2 linked regions of the Bombyx mori genome follow. The protein of the gene in region 2 purifies or fractionates together with the protein of the main gene of each other region. This does not show direct contact. Links are inferred from orthologs where the notes say so. Each region holds a gene or a part of one and is shown on either strand. Other genes may lie near its edges.

What was found.
Region 1: the proteins of small GTP binding protein RAB5 (region 2) and rabenosyn-5 purify together in Drosophila melanogaster (affinity purification with western blotting; 3 studies listed by BioGRID, with this or other methods). This does not show direct contact. The link is inferred for Bombyx mori from reciprocal best matches to the Drosophila melanogaster genes Rab5 and Rbsn-5.

The regions. Positions count from the first base shown.
Region 1 is NC_085116.1:3,149,991-3,161,667, reverse strand, and holds rabenosyn-5, read right to left. Parts: upstream 7,846-11,677; 5' UTR 7,678-7,845; coding exon 7,261-7,677; intron 7,141-7,260; coding exon 6,993-7,140; intron 6,760-6,992; coding exon 6,539-6,759; intron 6,070-6,538; coding exon 5,875-6,069; intron 5,393-5,874; coding exon 5,114-5,392; intron 4,313-5,113; coding exon 4,238-4,312; 3' UTR 4,077-4,237; downstream 1-4,076. Other genes in the region: dynein axonemal intermediate chain 4, read left to right, coding at 659-2,857; tetratricopeptide repeat protein 27, read right to left, coding at 9,892-10,158, 10,752-10,899, 11,110-11,285.
Region 2 is NC_085110.1:1,320,887-1,332,404, forward strand, and holds the start of small GTP binding protein RAB5, read right to left. Parts: upstream 5,380-11,518; 5' UTR 5,201-5,379; exon of another isoform or gene 4,926-5,200; intron 4,887-4,925; exon of another isoform or gene 4,609-4,886; intron 712-4,608; 5' UTR 709-711; coding exon 461-708; intron 1-460. Other genes in the region: rRNA-processing protein UTP23 homolog, read left to right, coding at 7,127-7,246, 8,243-8,887; uncharacterized protein LOC119628424, read right to left, coding at 9,012-9,167, 10,627-10,868, 11,512-11,518.

The sequences.
Region 1 (11,677 bases), on a different chromosome or scaffold from region 2:
GTGTAGTATGGAATGGGATCCGCTGGATGCAGGCAGAGTAGGACCGATTTTTTTCGGCGAGGCTTGGGGGACGCCTATATCCAGCAGTAGAAGTGCGTGGGCTGATGAATGTGTTTACCGGAGACAAAGACGACATGAGGTCGAATTTTTTTTTATTGCCCTTGTAGGCCGACGAGCATACTGCCCACCTGATGATGAGTGGTTACCGTCGATACATGAATTGTATTGTTTTACGTGTCCCATCCATATAATTGGAATGCTTGACTATTTTGCGGCCGTGAACACCGACGGGCGATCGTAGTACGCTGGTATAATACTTTAAGAATGCCTCTGGTGATAAATCCCGTAATCTGTGGGAAGAAATGAGGTGGAGCTATTTTAAGCTGGCACCACACACTTATGTACTTTATTTTGTTTTTAGATCTTGATGCTCTAGACAAATTAGTATAAACAACTTAGAAGTCTTAGGATTATGGACTATTTGTGTGAATCGATTCAAATAAATATTGTAGCTAAATTGTAAAATGTCAATGTCAACCGTCACAATGTAATTGGATTAGTGTTTATTAAATCTGCCTTGAAATACGTAACTGTATTTTCCTAAAAAAAAATCCATCAGGATACGTATGTATGTATGTACTTTGTGTAAATAAAAATAATGTCGTCCAATATAATGCTACCGGAATCCCCGGATCCCAATACACGATCAGAAACTGTAGCCTCAAAGATCAGTTTCAATGAGCAGTCTTCATCTAGAACAAGCAAAGTTGCGTTTTCGTTTATGGAGAAAAGAGCAATGTATCGTGTTGTGGTTGACGGTGCCGATGTCACACCCGAAGACATTCTCGAGCCTGATTATGTAATGATGGTAGATACTTTTTCGCACGCTGCCTTTGAAAACAAACCCCGTTTTAAAAGTGAAACCGGGCTTAAAGCTACGTCTAAATCACGATCCGTTACGGAGGGTGCGATGACTGTTTTTGCAACGACAATCTCTCTTGACGACATTCATATCGATCACACGCTCAACACGAGCGAGGGTTTTATACCTGACGACGAAGTTCTCGAACAAGCGCCTTCAGCATTTTATCTCCCGAAAAGTAAACCAGTCATGTCTTATCCCCCAGAAATTTTCATTGTGCTTAAAGAGACAGAAACTTGCTATTTGTTCGAATTACCTAGTTTTGCTTTTGAGAAAGGTACTCCTGAAGCAGATAAGGTAGAAGAGGATAATGAGTTTTATCAATATATTACTGTTGGAAAAGGGAGAAACAGAAAAATGATTGTGGAGGAAACACAAACCGAAGAGTATATTGTACAAACACGACACACGCTCGCGTCGAGACCCCAAAGGAAAAATGCTATAGCATTCGCATCTTTATGGGACATGCACGATACCTACGCTAAGCTTGCAAACGTGAAAAAAGTAGAAGAACCTGATGAAATGGTGCTCTATCAATCAGCAGCACCCAATTTACTCAGAAAGAAGAAACTAAATGTTTTTGACGCTTCCTTGAAAAAAGGAAAATGTTTTGAAGAACTAGCGTCGACACCAGAATTCCTAGATGCGGTTTTATTGGCTGAACGTGTATTATCGACACTAGAATATTCTGAAGCTCAGAAGAAATACCGTGGCTTGGTTCGTATAGATCCACTCTCGTTAGATTTAGTGTATATTTACACAATGAAACCTTTATGGACTTTTGAATGTGAAGATACCATAAACCGCCCCATAACTGGAATCTCATTTAATCCGAAGAATGAGAATATATTAGCAGTCGCTCACGGGAAGTTCCGGTATGCTGAATGCTATAACGGCTTGGTCTGTATTTGGTGTACAAAAAATCCACTAAAACCCGAAAGAGTTTACCAATTCGAAGATCCATTAACATCATTGGCATTTGCCGAAAAAAACCCTAACTGGCTAGCTTGCGGTTTTGCTAACGGTGACGTATTGATTTTGGACATCACTTCATACACCACAAAAAGCATAGCGAAAAGTAAACGCGACACAAATCCCTGTTTTGAACCAATCTGGGTGACAAGTTGGCGATCAATTGATAAGGATAATGAATTCGTTATGACTTCATGTCAAGACGGAAGGATCAACAAATTTACTAACACTAAGACCCACGATTTTATATGTTCACCCATGATGAGAATATCAACCGTCGAAGGTAAGATGAAAGGGCTGGAAGCAACGAAAGCATGTTTGAAAGTAGACGTTCCTATAACGCGCTACCCAGCAGCGTTATGCATAAAATGGCACCCGAACGTTGAGCACGTGTATCTAGTTGGTACTGATGAAGGATGTATTCACAAATGTTCTACTCATTATCTGAATCAACACATCGAGGTCTTCAAAGCACATGCAGGTCCTGTTTACGGCATGGAGTACTCCCCTTTTATGAGTTCGTTGTTGGTGTCTTGCGGCGCAGACGGTGCTATAAGATTGTGGATAGAAGGCATGGATGACGTCATTATGACCTTAACATGTCCCGCTGCAGTATACGGTATCGCATTCTGTCCAATCAACTCCACGGTGATTTTATCAGTAAGCGGAAATATACTTTCCATTTGGGATCTGCGAAGGAAAACTCATATGCCGTGTGCGGAATACTCTTTTCCTAATAACGTTGTTCTGACGTACATTAAATTTGCCGCTTCGGGAGATAATGTCTTCGTTGGTGAGACGTCTGGACGCATTCACACATTCCATTTGGAAGACACTCCGATACCACCGTTTTACCAAAGAAAGATGTTAGACGAGGCGATCAAAAAAGCACTTTGCACGAGACCACAGCTCTTGAAGCAACTCGAAAAATTGGAAAAATTTAGAGAGAAGTATGCGAAATAATTAACGAAATCAATTTGAATAAAATTTGTACATGTGATATTTATAAGTAGCAATCATGAAGCTATTAAAATTATTTTATTACTAGCTGTTACCGTCCGCTTCGCTGGGCATTTAAAATTAACATTATTATTTCTCACCCCCACAAAGACTCTCATCATTAACGCCCCCGCAACTGGTGTAGGGAGTCCAACACTCATATAAATATTAGCCTATCCATTAACTACATGTATTTTCTACATGAATACCAAGTTTCAATTCAATCGGATGCTTGGTTCAGTAGTTATAACGGAACATCCGTAAAAAGCAGTGTAGATTTATATATTAGTATAGGTTTTTTTTAAATCTAAAGCTCATTCTTGTTTATACCACAATTAAACTACAAGAGAATATACCTATCTATCAAAATCACCAACTTAGCTTACACTGCTTGACATCACTTTAATATATTAGTTACTGCGCTGACCTCATCGGTTTTGCCACAACCTTATACACCGTCTGTAACCAACGTTCACAAGTTCATGTTCAATTCTATGGTTGTAATAATAATTATACCCAAATCACATTTTCATTTTTTGCGTTTGTGAATCTGTTCACGAATGAGTGCCGATTTTAATGAATCTATTGATTTTTAAATTGTTATTAATAGATAAATATACTTGATTTGTAGTATCAAATATTGAAATTTGGTATATTTCAAATCTGGCAACAATGACTAGCCCATATTTTTCACAACCAAGTCGAACTGTGATTAAATACAATTATGGCACGTTCGCATCAAATAACAATTATGCTGTTTTGTTTCCAATTTATTTCGTCAAGTTTCTTCAATACAGTATAAAGTAATCATTAAAGAAAGTAGATAGCGCTTATATATGACCTAGGATCTTCTTATCGTGATCTTCTTATGAGCCACATTAAAAAGACTGCCAAACATGCTCTTATAGATTCTTATTTTTTTTATTTTTTTTTGCTTTGATGGGTGGACGAGCACACAGCCCACCTGGTGTTAAGTGGTAACTGGTCAAAATTAACAAATAATAAAAAAAAACATTGAAACATGAAGATTCTTAAAAATACGGAGACGCTTCGTGGGTTTCGCACATAGGCGTTGCCGGGGATCGGCGCGGCCATAACTACAGGTATAATTGGCAATGTACAGATAATATAATGTATCGCAGGTAAAAGGTCAATCTTATTCTATTCTAAATAAAAACAAGTCCTGTTTTAGAATCATAATTTTTTTATGCACAGTATAATATTTATAAATAGTGATCGAAGCCTAGAATTAAATAATAATGTTTTAAGGGCTAAATAAGTTATCATTAAACGCTATACAATATAAACGTAACAATATACTAGATATAGTTATATCTGGAATGACTAGGATCTGCTCGAGAGCTTCTGTAATTTGTATTCCTTCTTCAATTCCTTTAGGTTTGCTTCTAAAATCGCCACCTGTTAATAATTTACAATTACTTACTCCCTTTCGACAGTAAAAGAATCTTTATAAGTGTAATGTGACCATGATAAGTTAAAATAAACAAAATCAAATTAGAAGGAAGAAAATTAAGATTCTAATATTATATATATACCTATATATTTTTTAATGACAACTAATGTATGCGGTACCCTCATAAAATACTCTTATTATTAAAAGATGTACGTAATTTGTCCTGATTTGACGCTCTTTTATTAGGTTTATTTTTTTTTATCCTACTTATGCTAAGGTCGAAGGTTCGGCGATGACGGTGATCGGACACTTTACTTGTATATGTCTGTGTAACGGAATCTTTCAATGTGAATTTCAAAAACTTCAAGACGTCTAAATAAATTTAACATTTTGCACGATGTATCATCATCGATCCTTGACATAATAACCTCATTACTTTAGCCTAATTTTCAGATCCGTTTAAACAGGACAAAACATCCACACAATGCATCCATTGATCCCCGCGAACCTCAATAGGTCATATAATACGGCCGTGTGGTGTCGGCCTCGAAAAAAAATAACACCTCCCTTTCTCCTCCCGTGGATGCCGTAAGATGCGACTAAGGGATTATCCAGAGAATGGGTAGCAGCGTTCTCAGAGTATCATAACAGCATACTTCGATCGCCAACCCGCATGCCCAGCGTGGTGATTATGGCAACCCCCCCCCCCAACATGGGCGACGCAAATACGAATCCAGTACCCCGCAGCTCCACTATTCCTGGCTACGTATATAAATAAATAGATTATAGTTATTTACAAGACCCACCTCTTCAAATCTCAGTTCCTGTCTCGCCTCTTTTATATACCCCCTGATGATATTCATCTGCTCTAGCAGCGGGTTGTCGTCGTCGTCGTCGTGCTGGGCGCCGGCGGGGGTCAGGGCGGGGGGTGGGGCGGCGCCGGGCGCACCCTCCCGCCGCTGCCGCTCGCGCTCCATACGTTCCCGCTCCATTTGTATTTGTTTCTCGGCACGCTCGTAGCGCTGACGACGCACCTCCTCGATCTGAGCTTCGGTCGGGAGCTTCCTTAAGGACAGTAAGTCTTCCTGAAATCAGAACGTTATTTGAAAATGAATGTCAAGGCAATAAACGTAGAAATATATTTTCTTCTTTTTTTCTCTCTTTATTATCTACAATCAGTATCCAGTACTTTTATTATTAGATGTGTTGAAATGTTTTTCGTAGTCAGTAAGAACATGACTCCAGCGAGCCATCTACTCTAAATTTCAGAAATCCAAATTTGACAAGATTTCAGTCCAAAATTAAGGAACAAAATAATTATTTTATGGTTTTAATTCGTGTTAGGTACATGGGAAGATTAAGAATATTACCAGGCTTTTGTTCTAAACATTTTTTATTACAGCCAAGCTGATGGTTATAGAAGTAAGCAATACAAAGTCGCTGTCTAAATCATGATTCCGACATGACTACATTAGAAATCTCTAAAAACTAGTTGAGGGTAAATATTTATTTAAAGTTAAAAATTTAAAGTTTCACTTTAAATAAATATTGAAGCATTTTTATTTACCTTAATATAATGTCCTGCAGCTTGCCTTATAGCATTCTGTAGCCTGGCTTGCCTTGTGCCAGGCTCTGCCGGGAAGCTGACTATCTGCTTACTCAGCAAGTCTATGCCTTCAGCCAACTTCCCTATACGACCTCGCATTGCATTCACATCAGACATATTGTAGGTTGTTTCACCATCAAAGAGACTTTGGCACATCTGTAATGTATGTAGAAACTGTTCTTAAGCTGTTGTTTTATTATTTTATTTAGTGAATTATGAACCTAAGCACATGCAATGATCTCCGAGTGTTGGCCGGAAGAGGTGGATGAGGAGAGCCAAACACGGGGCTCAGTGGTATGGATAGGGAGATGTCCGACAGTGGATGACAATAGTCGCTGATGATGAATGAATGAATGAATGAACCTAAGCAAACTAAACGGGTAACATGTCAGTTCATTGTGTATCTATTTTAAGCCATCCGCACTTAGTAATACCCAAACTAATACATTACACAAGTAAAAACAATAATATTTGAATATAACAGTACCGTTTGAAAATAATAAATTTTTTACAAAATTGGTAAGAAGAAATTTAATGTACTTAATATGTAGTTACTGTTTTTTCTTTTTTTTTTATATTTTCTATTGACACTACAAGACAAGTAGTCACAAATTCTTATAAATACCTTTTCATACATAGCAACAGCTGGTTTGGCTTGCTCCATAAGACTCCTCATCTCTTCATAGGCCGTTACGAGTTCAGTCTTTGTGTTTCTTGTTTCTTGCACTTGTTTCCGCAGTTTGATCAAATTGTAACAATGTTCACAGAGACGTAATCCATTCTTCTCTGTTAGCTTTAGTTCCGGATTTGATACTGGTTTTGGAGCTGATGGATTTATAATAGTTTCTGAAATGTAAAATCATACACTCATTACAGGCAAGATAATCGGAGTTGTAATTCTACACTGCAATAATACAAGATACTAAACTAAAATATATATTATTTTGTTTTCCCTGTTCAATCAAGAGTTAGGTGCCTTTTTAGAATACTGGAGAGTTGCATAAGGTCATTGCTTTTGGTTAATTACTATATTAATAACATAATTGAAGAATATTTAAAATAATATATGTGTAACTTACTAGCTACTTCAATATCTAGAAAAACAGAGCAGTCATGACATAGTATGGAGCCACATAGTCGACAATGATGTTGCCTGCGTGTCAAGTGAAAGGGTTTCGCACAGTTGGGACACAGATTAACTGATGAACCATCTAACCATGGCACAGCCTGGAAAAATACATATACAATAAAATGAGAAATTATTTTAACATTCCAATGGCATTTATATTATTTTAGTTAGTTAAATGTTACCAGGTTAACTATTAAACATAATTATTTAATACATACATCTTGCTCATGAATTTTTCTTTGATGAGGGTCACTTGGCATGTTACAAATGAGTTTATCCAACCGAATCAACAGCTTATTAGTCTCCGTAGCGTATCTTTCAAGCCTGGAAAACCTCACACCCTTAAAGTAATCGGTTGAACTACGTGATACTCCGATCACCTGCTCTTCATCATAATAATCTTGGTAATTAAACTTCAAAGCACGCGCGAATGTCTCTTTCAAATCAGCATTGTCATTATTCAGTATTATTGTCTTTGCTTTACCAAAAATGTCTTTTAATGATTTCAAAACATCTTGATCTTCTTGATGAAGACTTTCGAAATGATTTGTTAGTTGTGAGGCGGATTTGAGATCTGCTTTACATATGGGACACAAGAAGCCCTCAAGAATTTCATCGTCGTTGGCCGTTGCCATTATTAATATCACTTCTCACCAATTTAGCATTATAAATTAACTGCAATTATTAATCATCACCAAGGTGAACACTAGACATTAATCACACAGTAATTGTGATTACTGTCAAGAGGAAGTAAGTGTCAAACGTCAGCTGAGCCATACATGTGCGTTTCATTAATTCAACACCACACTGTGTTTTTTTTTATAGGCTTTATTCGTATATATTAAGTGTATAATCTATGGGCTTTATTAAATACACTCCAACAAATAAAAAAATGTCAGTGATCAGAAAAAATCGTAGAGGGGAGTCACTCGGAAGCCATGTTCGTCGCTTCTAGCTTTAACGCTAATAGTTTACCCTAGAGTTGAAATTCGGTGTTGAGGTTGCGAAACAGCTGCTCTCGAGCTATTAGGTTTCCTTCGGGGGCTATCGGTCAGTTATTAGTATATCCCACCGTTCCTGGCTGCCCGTGTACGCCCATCCGTTCTGAAGCCTTCGGGATACAAGCAATCCGTCCATCTACCCACCTCCAAAAATTAAGTAGATCCACAAAGGAACTCTGGTTAGCTGCGGGCTATGAGGAAAAATGATGACGAAGAGTTTATTAGAACATTCCTCAGTGACCATGCGGTATAAAACACAAGGGCCTGACCTGAGCGGCCCTTCCTGTACGGAGTCAAGGGGCCAGAGAATCAGGAATCCGGTCACCGTCCTAGTCGAAACCGTGGAAGGGCTCGACGAGTGAATTAACGTCATAGACAGAGCCCACTGAGTTTCTCGCCGGATCACGTTTCCGATCCGATGGTAGATTCCGCGAAGCGCTGCTCTTGCTAGGACCAGTGTTAGCAACACTCCCGGTTTGAGCCCCGTGAGCTCATCTACACGTCAAGGAGAAGTTGAAATAGCCTCTCAGGGCTATCAGCATAGTTAGGACAAAAAAAAAAGAATCAGAGAAGGCAGCAGTACTCACTGAATGCCGACTCTATACTCTGTAGAGCACAAGACACTAAAGACGTACAGTACCGTTTCGCTCTCTTGAGAACTTTGACAAATTTTAGAGGTTTTTAATGTAAGCACTTTAGATGTATTAATGTTCTATTCACGTCTATATAAAAATACTGTAAATCCATCGAATTTGAACTGATTAGATGAACGAATCAATCATTGCAGCTTTATCTTTATTTTTGCCGCTGCCACTATAAACACGTTTAATTTTTTGTATTTTTTTTTGGAATTTGGAAAATTAGGCCTGGGCAACGATGAATGAACAAGTGGTAGAGTTAACATTGTTATTCATATTTTGACATTCAACAAGTGTGTTATACTGACAACTGTTATACAACGGCCGTCTGGTGTAGTGGTAAGTGACATGGTCACTACACAAGGGGGTCGCGGGTTCGAAACCTGCCACGGGAGGATATTTGTATGATAAATATAAAATTTCTTTTCCAGGGTTATGGATGTTTATTAAATATATGTATGTGTATAATAAAAATCTTAAATTTATTTCCGTTATCTGGTACCTGTAATACAAGTTCTTTACGAACTTAGCACGGGACCAGTTAACGTGGCGTGATTGTTAGTAAATATTTATTTATTTATTTTATTACTGATATCTAAGTTGAAATAAATTACTTTTAATTTTGAATTGAATTTGAGTTAATTGGGTGCGAACACTTGTACGTCTAGGGATTCACAGGGTGTGTTAGAACCAGGTGTTAGCATGCGATCAAAAAAATGTACTTTATGTAATTAAAATTGAGTTAGACGCGTGTTTCAGTCAAGGGAACGGACGGTGGGGGTATGTCCGTCAGCTAGCTTAGTGTTACGTTACGTATTTACGTTCAATAAATGAACATTTGTTTATGTTAAGTTTGTCGCTTATTGCGTATTCGGGAACTTTCTTTTTTTTTTCCTACCTAAGCTGGTATCCTTGAGAGGCTATTCCAGCGTAACCGTAACTAGTAGGTGAGCTCACGGGGCTCAAACCTGACGACGTTGCTAACACGAACCCTAGCAAGAGCCGTGCTTCGCAGAATCTACCACCGGATCGGAAACGCGACCCACTGAGAAGATCCGGCGAGAAACTCAGTGGGCTGTGTCTGAGAGTTAATTTACTCGTCGAGCCCTTCGTCGCAAGCGACGGGTTCGACGAGAACGGTGACCAGTGCTTGAAGTACCTAGAAGCACCGTCAGTGGATCGGGGGGACGGGAACAACAGAAACTACAGTTCACATAACAGATTTTATATATTCAGTGACAACATTGAAGGTTTCTCTCAGCTCCGCGAGCGTGTCTTGTGTTTCTGGCCAGTTATGTTTCTCGGCAGCCCTGAGCACCGCTTGCCCCGTCAGCCGAGCCGACGACAGTTGCTGGTCAGCTTGGAGCCGGTCCTTGTCCTCGCATTCCTGTCTCGCCTTTAGACTCGTTTCGAGGACAGATAACGCTAGGTCGATAACCTTTTTACAAGCCTCTGGGTCGTTGGGCCAGTTGCCGTTCTAGTCAACAATCATTAAAAAGAAATATTACTATTACAAAATTGCAACAGAACTGTATATCTCTCTGTATATATAACTATATATAAACATTGAAATTTTGTTTATGTATATTCGCTAAGGTCTTAAACTCGAAATAGTAATTTAAATATGTATCTCTTGGATCGATAATGGCGTAAAAACAACATGACTAAATGTAATAAAATTTTATTATCAAAATTAAAAATGTTATCTTTAAAAACTGGTGTCTACATACAAACTAGACACGCCAGCGGTTTCATCCGCTATAAATTATCTAATGTAGAAGAATTAAATACGCTACATTTTCTAGAGATAAAGAGTTTAATTTATTTTACTCTGATTTGTAAAGTACCATAGCAACGACTGTCATTACGGTCGTCGTCTTCATGGTCTAAAGGATAAGACGCCCGGTTATTTGGATCGAACGACACAACTGTGCCGGTGTTCAATTCCGGCAGCCAGGTATATTTTTTTATAATTGAACAGGCATTTAAATTGTTTTCGCGACCGACTATCCCAATAAAGGAATATGACGTCGTATAATAATTTAAAATTTGTTTTTTTTTTATTATTACCTGTGTGTACGCCCGGTACGCTTTCATGAGTCTTTGTGCCTTCAACAAAAACGTGGGACTAATATCGGAATACAGTATCCATATGTCAGGTTTATTGTGGTGCACAGCAGTTATCCTCCCGAATAACTCTAGTACTCTTTTCCTTAACCTAAAAAAATAGCGTATTGTATGAACTAAAATCGATATTCTTCTAGCCCTTTTTGTTTTAAATTCGACCATCATTAATGAAAACGAGATCAACTAAGACAAATTTTGTAGATTCATTTTAAACAATTAAAACTATGACACTAGACTAATTTATTACAATAAAGGGGTTTGTCATGTCAATTTCCACGAATTTGGTAGAATTTAACCTCACCTGGCAGCACCATTTCCATCGGCGTCTTTGGTATCATTTAAAATGGCCCGAACCAACAATGTCAGTACTTCTACATCTTCAAATTTATTCTGTAAATCCAAAAGTCTGTGACAGCCGCGAATCACGTCCTCAAAGTGTAGAGTGTCCATACTCACAATAATTACATTATCCCACAGCTAAAAATGTCAACGAAATTCTTTAATAAAAATAAATTATTCAAAAATATTATGTATAAATAGATAATTTAAATAAACAAAATTAATAAGCTCCAAAAATAAAATGTCGATTTTTTTTGTCAGGAGGAAATCACCGGACTTCCGCCCTCCACTGGGGATGGAGGGCGGGGCATGTCGGAGTCGACCCGACTAAAACCTCCTGTCGCTCAACAACCAGCATCCAAACCTCGCATGAGACAGAACTCATGAAAAGGCAAAGGGGGGAAAGTGAAGCGTTTAGTGCGGAGCACATCTCTCCCATCACCCTCCCCCTCGGGACGCCGGACTGGCAGTCGTTGGCGCCACGACCACCAGTCCTCTCGGTCGGCAGGCTATCCGAAGCCCGCCTAGAT
Region 2 (11,518 bases):
ACGATCGACGAGGACGGTGACCGGTGCTTGAGGAGTCTAAAAGCATCGAAAGTGGATCTGCGAGAACCGACAAGACATCGGCGGTTTCGGGCAATGACGACTTTGCGTTTTCCCAACGCCTGGATCGGATAAGAAATTAGCAGTTGTTAGACCGATAAGAGGATTACCCGTGCAGCAACGTAATTTAGACTTTGACTCCGTATCTCAGGATGGAATTTGCATCGTCGAATTAATTTTATACAACGCGGTTTTCAATTGTTTTCAATTTTTATTCGACTGACTCAGAGTAAAGGTTATTTTTTTTATAACGTGTTTTGCGTTGTGTGCTCACGCTCGGCAGCTTTTTAACAATATATTAGTGGGTAGACCATAACAATTTGAGTGGCGGTTGCGTAAGACCGGTGCCGAGATAAGTAGAAGTATGACGTCATTATTTTTAGCATGCTCTCTCTCAACTGACCTCTCCTGTCCAGCTGTATCCCAGATCTCGAATTTAACGGTGGTGTCGTCGAATCGAATGGCCTGGGTGAGGAACGCAGCCCCGATGGTGCTCTCCTGGTACTCGTGGAACTGTCCCTTGACGAATCGGAGCACCAGCGAGGACTTGCCTACCGCAGACTCGCCCAACAACACCAGCTTGAACTGGCAGACTTTTGTCTGTGGAGCGCCATTGGGCCTCTGTGCGGCTCCGGTCCTGTTTGTCGCCATATCCTGTAAGGAACCTCTATTTTATTATTATCCAATTATACGATCTGATAATTAACTGGTAGGACCTCTTGTGAGTCTGGTGGTAGGACCTCTCGTGAGTCCGCACGGGTAGGTATCACCACCCCTCCTATTTTCCGTCAAGCAGTAATGCATTTCGGTTTGAAGGGTGGGGCAGCCGTTGTAACTGAGACCTAAGAGCTTATATCTCAAGGTGGGTGACGCATTTACATTGTAGATGTCTATGGGCTCCAGTAACCACTTAACATCAGGTGGGCTGTGAGATCGTCCACCCTTCTAAGCAATAAAAAAATGCGAGGCCATCACCTTGTTTGTTGAAGCAACACAATAACCACTAACACTTGCAAGTCCAAACAAAAACGTGTACCTACGTGTAATTCACACGGTATAAAAGTGAAAATTTCCGAAGTACATATTTTATCTCATCGCCTACAATGAGAAGAGACAAACATATAGGTACATCTGTATATTAGATGTATATTGTTACTCATTTCAGTTCAAAGATTCATTTCCGAGTAGAAGTGAAAACTTATCTATATAGTATGCCATCAGCCCGCATTCTAAGTCCTATATATATGTCTCTTTTTAGTGTCGTTTTTTTTTTCATTTCATCTGGTTGCAAAACACAATGGTTCTAAAAATATTTTCATTGCAACAAAGTAAAATATAAACACCTCTCTGTTTAATACCTAGTATAATTAGTTGCGAACGTCACCTCTTGAGATATTACACCTTATCATATAGTGAAGAGTCCATTTTCAAGTATAAGCCTACATATTGAAAAAATCTAGGAAACTTCTCAATATATCAATTAGCATCGAATGTTCGTTGAGTTTGACAAACCGGCCCAAAATTTATTATTATATTACATACATGTTGAAAAAATAATTGATTTTTTAAACAATAAGCATACATATAATCAAGGAGTGAAAGACTATTTGGTATAAGCGACATTTCGCTTATTACGCGACATTTATCTTTGGTCTAATTAAAGGTCCGCCTTATTTAGTATTAGTATCAACAATTCGATGTTTTTAATTTAACTTCAATTACATAAGTTTACCCCATTAAAATAGCTGAAGAAGTGTTTTTTTATGAAGATATTTTTTTCAAAATTTAAAACTTTAATGTTTTTTCTGTAAAGTTGCAAAAATGTAGCTTAATCGAAATAACATTTCACCCCTAGATATAATATAATAACGCGTATTGTCGTCTATGACTCCGAAAATAATAAGGCGAACGAATTAATGAACTGGACTATATATATATAGCAAACAATTCCTAATTCAATTTTCTTATTACACTTCCTTATTGATATAAATGTTAAATATTTATAACTTGATAATATTTTAACTAAATAACTCATTAAAATCAAATTAACTTCAATATCTAATCAAAAAGATAAAAACAACACAAAAATTATACCAACCAGACAGCTGAATTAGAATTATTTTAGCTCAAATTACATAAGCCTATTATTTCAAGGTTAGAAGCCCCTGGTTACAGACAAACATGTTGATACACAGATAATGTGTCATAGAGGAATACCTTAGTGATTATATTAGAAATGTTTTCTTTTTGTAGCTGGTTTGACTAAACCGAACAATGCCCAGACTAAATTTTCACTGTGATAAAATTGATTGGCTTAAACTTTGTTAAATTTAATATTTTCCCATCCATTCTGTATTCTCCAAAATTATGTGTTCAATATATATGTACAGTATGTAATCTATACTAGTATATCTTGTGGTTTAGTTTCTTATTTTTTGTTATTAATCGATGTTGTATTATCAGCTCTCATTTAAATACCTTGAACATCTGGTATGTTCATTAACTTAAAAGTACCATGTTCAATATGCTCCACAGCATTGCGTACTCTGATGTAGTAACAACTTAGAGCAGTCCACCAGACAGCTAACTTAATTTAATACAAAAATCAGCTAATTTTTATTTTCAATACCAATAGCAACATTAAGCACGTTACCTAGTATTATGGTTAGTGGAACAAGTTTTTTTTACATTCAATTCATCGATAAAATGAAAACTAGACTTAGTGTTGTTGAATTTGTTAACATAGAGTTTTTTGCAATAAAATACAGACAATTCAGTTCATCTTCATGTTTATTTCAATTTAGGTTAATAGCTCTTTTTGGTATCATATCATTCACAATGATAAGAGAATTATAACACCTAAGTTTTAAGAATTTTTTTATAGATTAGAATCTCCGTTTTAGCATGTTTTTAATTTTTCTTTTTTTTTATTATTGTTTGAACGGCGAGTGAACGGTCTCCCATCTGACTTTAAGTTGTTACCTATACATGTGAATGCAGACAGCCATCTCAAGACTTGAGTATTTCATGATCCCTTTATTGTGAAAGTCAATTGTGAGCCTGAGTTAAGCACGTATTTTAATGGAATCTCTCAAAATTGGTACCTGCAAGCGACATTTGTACACCGGCATAATCACAACACTTGATATGAAGACATGGAGCTTTGTATTCACTAGGCCACAATGACATCGAATATTTTTGTGCATTTTTTTTTATCTGTATATGTGCATAATTATGACAGTAATACACATTAGGTGATAGAGCTTAAGACTCCGTCGAACTTAAATGATCTGTAATTGCTGATTTTTGCATTCAATAAATAATAAAAAAATGTGTTGAAAGATGAGTGCGTTTTAATTAAACAATAAAACGTAATAAAACTTATAGACCAGCAGCTTTTATTTATTTGTAGGCAGACAAGCATATGATCTACTTTATGGTAAGTAGTCACCATTAATCATGGACACAGCCAAGCAGATCTATCTACAAATCACAGTAAATGTAATAATTATGCACTCACACTGTCACTAATGTAACAATAAAAATATAATAGCTTAACATTAAATTTAAATTTTGCTATGGTGCACCAGTCTAGGTCCATAATTCCACAATCTATGCTACAAGGTGAAAATTACTGCATAATCAGTGTCTGGTCATTATATGTCTCTATGAGAGATAAAGAACAGTCAGTAAAGAGTAGCTACAAGTACTGGCTGGTGTCGTCATCCCTGTACACTTAGAAATGCAACATTGCACGTGTATATTTTACACTACAAATATATACAAATTCACACAAGACTTGAAAACTCAATGGTGCTTTTTCGGTTACAGAACCACCTACTCATGCTGATCATTAACCCATAATTTTAAATAAATAGGGTAGTTAAATCAAAAGAGCTTCTTAGACCATACACAAAATGTGATCACAGAAAAAATGTATTTATTGATGACAGATGAGTTATATTAAATATCTTAAACAAAGATAACTTATAGCACACAGGAAACAAATCTGAGTGATGTTGAGATCATTAAGCATTCTACTCGTAAGACCAATCTAACTGAATAAAATGTAACTTGTGATTATGGTAGCATAAATCGACAGCAAAGTCAGAAATTCCCCTGACCCTCATGACACAAAACAATGGACCACACACATCAGCTGGTTTTTTTATTGATTGTTAATATTGCAACATTGCACAAAAAAATCAGTTACTTTGCCTCCTTGGGAAACATCAACTCTACAAAATGTCTTTGTTTTTGAGAATACTTCCCTTACACTTTGTGCGTTGACTTTTCTTTGAACATAAATATAAATTTAGTAAATTAACTATTTTTCAGACTAATACTTGTAATGATTAATAGAAAATGATTTTCATTTTGAACAATGCAATTTTACATTTCTACTATCCATTCATATCTTTATCAATTTGCTAATATGACTGAGTTAATTGAATTACAGATAATGAAGGCCTCACTTTCTCTTTCTTAATAGACATAATAGTGATGATAGCCTAAGCATTAACAAAGAAAATAAAACAATTAAAAACTCACCAACTAACAAACCAACAAAAACACAATTCGAGACCATCAACAACTAATGAGCGAGAAAAAAGCATTCACTGATCATGAACAAGGAATTATTGTGCCATTGTATTTTTTTCTTCAATTCAATAAAACCTCTTTGCCACAATGACGGCGAAGTTGAAAATCGGATGAAAACGGTAAACAACGTTATCTCGAACATTTAATCGTCGCGAAATCACAAAGAAACAAAAGATCCTATACTGACACTTATCAGTAAGGCGCTCGGCACATTTCACGTATTACAAAAAAATGTGTACATTTTAATATTTTTATCGGATACGAACCCCGTAACGTGTCTGTTGTTATGACTAACCACTAACTGTCTCTGTTCGTATCGCAGTGTTTCCTATTAACAGTTAACAAAATTATTAAATCAACGCCCTCCTAAAATCAGCTGAACGTCACGAAATCACTCTAATGGGATCATCACCGAGACAATGCAATTATTACCGACTTTACCACCACACAATTACCCGAAGACTTTAAGTTTCGTGCACACTTTCAACAATATTCGATAAAATGACGCATTTACTTGATTAAAAGGATGTGAAAGACGTACCCTCCCTGTTATTGTAGCTCCGTTCTGAACTTTTTCTTGGGCGACAGATCTTCACGAAGTCGCCGTGACACCGAAATTATCATTAATTACACACTTAAACAAATATAATCATTAATCGTAAATGTAAAACTGGAAAATCTAGAACAGAAATCCAAAATGACCACGAACAAACATGGAAGCGAGAGAGCGAGCAAGATGTTTCACAAGAAATTGTCTATGGCACACTATGACATTCAATCAATGTCACTTTTTCATACTTTTATAAAGGAAACAAGACATTTGCAGCCCATTATCTAATGAGATTTTCTTATTTTCTCTGAAAATTTAAACACAATTTCGAAGGCAAGGAGTGAAGTTGTGTGATTTGTTTTATTTTGTCTATTTAGTGTTTCTTCAAGTTTAAATGTGTAATAACGGTGGTTTGTTAACTGTTTAATATGTGTGAAAGTTCACAAATGTGGGAAAATAAAACAAAGCCACTGGACGTAACCTCTCGGGATCCTACAAGAAGTCCACTGAAAAAGTCTGTCTCAGTCATCTCATCTCATTTTAGCTAATCTTTTCATCTCGGTTGATTAATTTCTCAAATTAATCATTTTCATTTCATTTCACTCCATATTATCATTTTTCATAAAAATAAGAATATAAATTAAAATACGACTTGACCTAAAGGTCTTAGTCACCAGGTCATAAAACCCTTTAAAAAAAACTTGCGTAGGTAGGTACGGCCAGAGATTAAACACTATTTATTTGAGAGGTACGGCGGCCAGCGTGACCAGATTTAGTAGATTTCTACTTTTTTGGTAGATTTTGAGGCACTAGCAACAGAATTTAGTAGTTATTCCAAAACTTTTTTGGCATAACAGATAAATTCGGGGTATTCGCCCTTTCATTGAATGAATTGTAACTATTTAATTTTCATTCTTTAAGCATAGTGTGATAGACCAGTGGGAATTCCTTCATTGAGAATTTTTATAATGGAGCTTAAAATTAAATATAAATATACACAAGGATATCGCGATGTCCCATTCGTCACGATATACTTGTAGTTGCAACAGAAAACATGCAAATTATGACAAAGAATATAGGGTATCAAAATTAGATGTTTCTGTGTCTAATTTATTGTCAACTTCTAGTTCGACGTGTCAAACTTTTATGGTGGATAGGTTTTGGGGTGAAGTCGGCCAAATCTGTGATGCAAATAGCAAACCAATGTATGGCAATTTGTCCCGATTTGTGAAGCAAATGATGATACTACCTTTGTCCAACGTCAAAGTAGAAAGAATAATTTCTGATATTAATAGGATTAAAAATCAAGATCGAAATCGATTTAATACGAAGGATGTTGCTGCAATCATGCATGGAAAAGAGGGGTTACGACAGTTGATGTCACACATTTGATCCTAACAAAAGTATTATCAAGTTAATGGGCTCAAAACAACTTTAAGAAAATGTTACCTAACATAAAGATGAAGAATTTTAAGTTTAAGTTTAAATTTCTTTTTTTTTCGAATTTAATTTAAAAAAATTATCATGGATCTATTTAATTAATTGTGGTTTCTTTTTATTATTTTATTATTTAATCAAGGAAACATTCATGTTTTCACATTGTAACACGACAGTAAAATAAAAGTTCCATTATACTTTTTTTATTATTTCTGGTTCACTTTTGGTAGAATTCAGTAGATTTTAACCTCCACAAGCAATAGATTCGTCAAATAAAATCTGGTTACACTGACGGCGGCACAATCACAGCTTAACATAAAAAATAAATAAAGTAATTTATGTACAATAAAACAACACAATTGTCAAAGTGAATGCATTAAATATATTTACATTACAAGATCATAACTTAATCATAGATTGAACACTAAAGTAAACACCTAAAAAAAAGACAATTCACGAAAGCGAGGTTCGTAATAAAAAATGAAAATAACACGTTACAAAAAAGTACAGAAATATCTAAAGTTTTATTACAACAATTATGGATTTCATCAGCCGTACCAAGTCCTTATCGATGGTACATTTTGTTTCGCTGCATTCAAAGTAAGTCTTCTCGATTAATTTGTCTACCGATAATTGTATATTTGATAACCCTTTAGGCTATTGAAATTCGTAAAAGAGAAGACTTGTTTTGATTACTGCTCCGAAAATGCTCACGATTTCTCCTAATTATTATTTAATATTGCATAAATGTTATACAGTATGGACAGTAAGTGTCGCCGTAACGGTCGCCTAATAGACATAGTTGATGAGGACTGGCGTGCGGAACAACTTCCTCACGAGGACATTCAAGTTCCGCTGGATGAGCTCCCGGACCCCGAGGCAGACAGCGCCGACTCTCATCTCACTCTAAAAGAGCAGAGCATGCGTTGGCAGGAGAATTTCCCTGAACCAGCGAGCAGTAATCAAAACTAGGTAAAATACCTCAAATAAAATGACATTTGTAGCAATTGAATAATTTGCTATAGCTGGGTAATACTTGTATTTGTCTATGAATGACATAAGTTCGAATAATATGGTGGAATGAAAATAAAAATGAAATAAATTTGTAATTGAGCAGGCATACTCAGTAGATATTTTACCTGTTTCTGCCTCATTTCTCAGTTTTATTTATAAATTTTTTATTGCTTAGATGGGTGGAAGAGCTCACAGCCCACCTGGTGTTAAGCGGTTACTGGAGCCCATAAGACATCTACAATGCAGATGCGCCACCCACCTCGAGATATAAGTTCTAAGATCTCAGTATAGTTATAATGGCTGTCCTACCCTTCAGATCGAAATGCATTACTGCTTCACGGCAGAAATAGGCAGGGCGGTGGTACCTACCCGCGCAGACTCACAAGAGGTCCTACCACTGGTAAAAGTCAGTGTGGGTGCTGTACATATTGCTGTGTTTAAAGTTTTGTTACCAATTAACTAAAGTTGCCTCTCAAGCACCTACCCTACCCATCAATAAAAATTGCATAAAAAAGCACTTTTAAACATTTTCCAAAGGGGTATGATTAAGCCTATTAAACTATTTTCAATTATTCATTTCAGGAGCATATTAACATCAGAGAGCAAATTCCCAAGTACCTAAACAGCCAGGCTAAACTACTGACAACGAGATGTATAATTATAGAAACAGAAAAATTAGCAAAGAAAACACATGGAGCTCTCACAATATTAAAACAGTTTGGTATTCATGAATGTGGGCACAAAGAACCGGTGGCTGGATCTAAGTGCATAATGTCCATGATTGGTAAGAAGAATGAAAAGCATTATATCTTAGCTACCCAGGATCGAGATCTGCAATCCAAATTAAGGGAAAAACCTGGAGTTCCTCTGCTATATCTACATAACAAGTCACCAACATTAGAGAAACCAAGTAGTGTGAGCTTTGACAAAGCAGGTCAAGCTCTGGAAACCAATGAACATATTTTTATCACTGAGAATCAGAGTGAAACTTTGAAGCAGATGAAAAAGAAATTAGGTGTTGAAGAAAAGGTTGAAGAACTGAATGTCCCTATTAGGAAGAAAAAGCCCCATAACCCTAATCCTTTGTCTTGTAAGAAAAAGAAAAATAAACCAAGCAGACAAGGAACAAAAAAAGAAAATGTGACTGAAGGAAAAGTCCGGAAAAGGAAGAAAAATAAGTTTCCGAAGCATTTAAAAAATGAACTTAAAAGTGTTATTAGTCAGTAATGTATTATTTAAGAACTAAAATTATTCTTTATTTCTTTGATTTGATATTTGCTGATTTAAATAAAAGAGCTTTAATAAATCAGAATCTACCAAGAGAACTGAAGTTTTTAATTTTCAAACAAACTTATTTCCGTTTGAAAGGCCACAAAAACTTGAGTCTTCGAACACCAAAAGTAAGAACATGTATCAGTGGTAGATTCTTAATGTACATGGTGTGGAAGTGTGACAGTATGTCGTAGCATTCGTCTGGCTCAAATATTGCTTCTCCATCTGGTGAATCCTGGAAATTCAGTAAAATAATAAGATCAAATTTTTTTTTTGTTAACTCCTGGCTCCGACGTCTTAGATTATATAGATAGAACGCCATTGATTTGCCAAAGACGTTTAGTGTTGACGCCTACCGGAACTGATTAATACTAAAAGATCTATATCTTCAATTGTCCTCGCCCGAAAATTTTCAAGTTCAGAATAAAATCACACTACCTTGCTTGTGCAATATGGCTCCTACGATATAACTGTATAAGTTGCTACTTATTTTGTATTTACTTGCATATTTTTAGTATTTAATGTCTATTTAAGTCTATCTTATATTGTATTAATTTTTCATGTGTGTATATAAATATATATTTTTTATGTAAGTTTATTAAGATATAGCACCATCTGTGCTAATTTGCTTAGGTATTCCTCTCCCTGCAAGGTTTCCTAGAAGAGATCGCTTTCAGCGATAAGGCCCCCAATTATTGTCACCGTCTATTATTTGTGTTATATGCTTATTCTGTACATGTGGTGTCAAATAAAGAGTTATATTATTATTATTCGTGGCGGAAATAGGCAGGATATTGTACCAGCCACGGTGGGCTTATCACCGCCAACCCTTTCGGAATGGATGAACGCATCCACACCAGTCATGGCCCAGTGACTTGTCCGGCGGGTACGAGTTCGCCTTGCACAACCGCTTTAGTTAAGTTCTCTCTCATCCGAGGTTTGGACGCGAGTTGTTAAGACACTGGTTAGTCGGTTCATCTTCAACACGTGTTTACAATACGTATACGGAAGTACTGTGATTTCTTGGTTCACTTCGATAAAGCGGCACGACACGAGCACCCTCTCGTCGTGGCCGCCGGTAACTACATTTCCGATCCTGCGGAAAGAATGGAAAGCAGTCGACGTCGCCCCAAACACGTCATCTCGGATCCTCCCGATCCACTAACGGTGCTTCTAGGTACTTCAAGCACCGGTCACCGTGCTCGTCGAACCCGTCGCTTGCGACGAAGGGCTCGACGAGTAAATTAACTCTCAGACACAGCCCACTGAGTTTCTCACCGGATCTTCTCAGTGGGTCGCGTTTCCGATCCAGTGGTAGATTCTGCGAAGCATGACTCTTGCTAGGGTTCGTGTTAGCATCATCGTCAGGTTTGAGCCCCGTGAGCTCACCTACTAGTTAAGGTTCCGCTGGAATAGCCTCCCTAGGCTGCCAGCTTAGGTAGGAAAAAAAAGTTATTTCTTTGAGATAAAAAAAGAGATCGTTTATTATAAGAGAAACGGTAGACACAAGACTGAGTTGGTCGTAGGCTACTAGATCTACTAGAATTAAAGAAAACCTTAAGAACTTATTGTGATAGAGGTGATACTTTGTAAGTGGCGTATTTAATGGGCACCAGAAATCACTTCTGTCATCATCGCGCTCAAGAAAATATGACTTCGAAAAGAAAGTGTTTGAAAATAAATTTGTTCATCACCTCAATTGTAAGCCGTATCATAAGTTCTTTGAAATACATCCAAACAGAGACTGGGGCTTGCCAATAATACCACTTGAAGTAACTATGAACAGTGACGTAGGTTGTAAGTAAACAAGCTAGCTTAAACGCCGAGAAGTCGCGCTGGGCTGCATAGTCTATCGTCTCGCACAGCAGATTCGTGACAAATTTTCTTTCTGACAAATTATAATTGACCACGATTTGCTTTTCGACTAAAAGTTTACCTGTAATACAGATAATAATGAAATGACACACATATGAGTCTAATTCAATGTACCTATATTCTGTAGATTGGCAGATGAGCCCACTTGATGTTAAATGGATGCCTCAATGCAACGTGTGGTTGTTATTTATTTTCCTACCTAATCGTTGGTAGCCTAAGGGGCTATTCCAAGTTCGCGCGGACCGGTAGGTGAGCTCACGGACTCAACCTGAGAGAATTGCTAACACTAACCCTAGCAAGAGCATTGCTTCGTCGATTCTATTATCGGATCGGAAACGCGACCCACTGAGAAGATCCCGCGAGAAACTCAGTGGGTTGTTTGTATTGTAAAGCCCTATAAAATTGTCCCAACCTTCGAAATGGATCGCTCAACTGCTTCCAATATTTGGTATATTTATAACCAGTAATTAATTGTTATCTCGGTGAATTTGCGATATTATACGGTAATGGTCGATGTGGGTCAAGCCGAGGCCTTTTGAAAAAAAAACTGAATTACCTACTTCAAATCACGGTCATCATTCACTCAACAGGTCTGCTCTATCGAAATATTTAAATAAACATCTAGGTACGTGTTACCAGCCCAGGATATCTGTTGGCCACACACGGACAAAAACGTTATAATTTTACTATAGTCATGAACAAACCTATGTG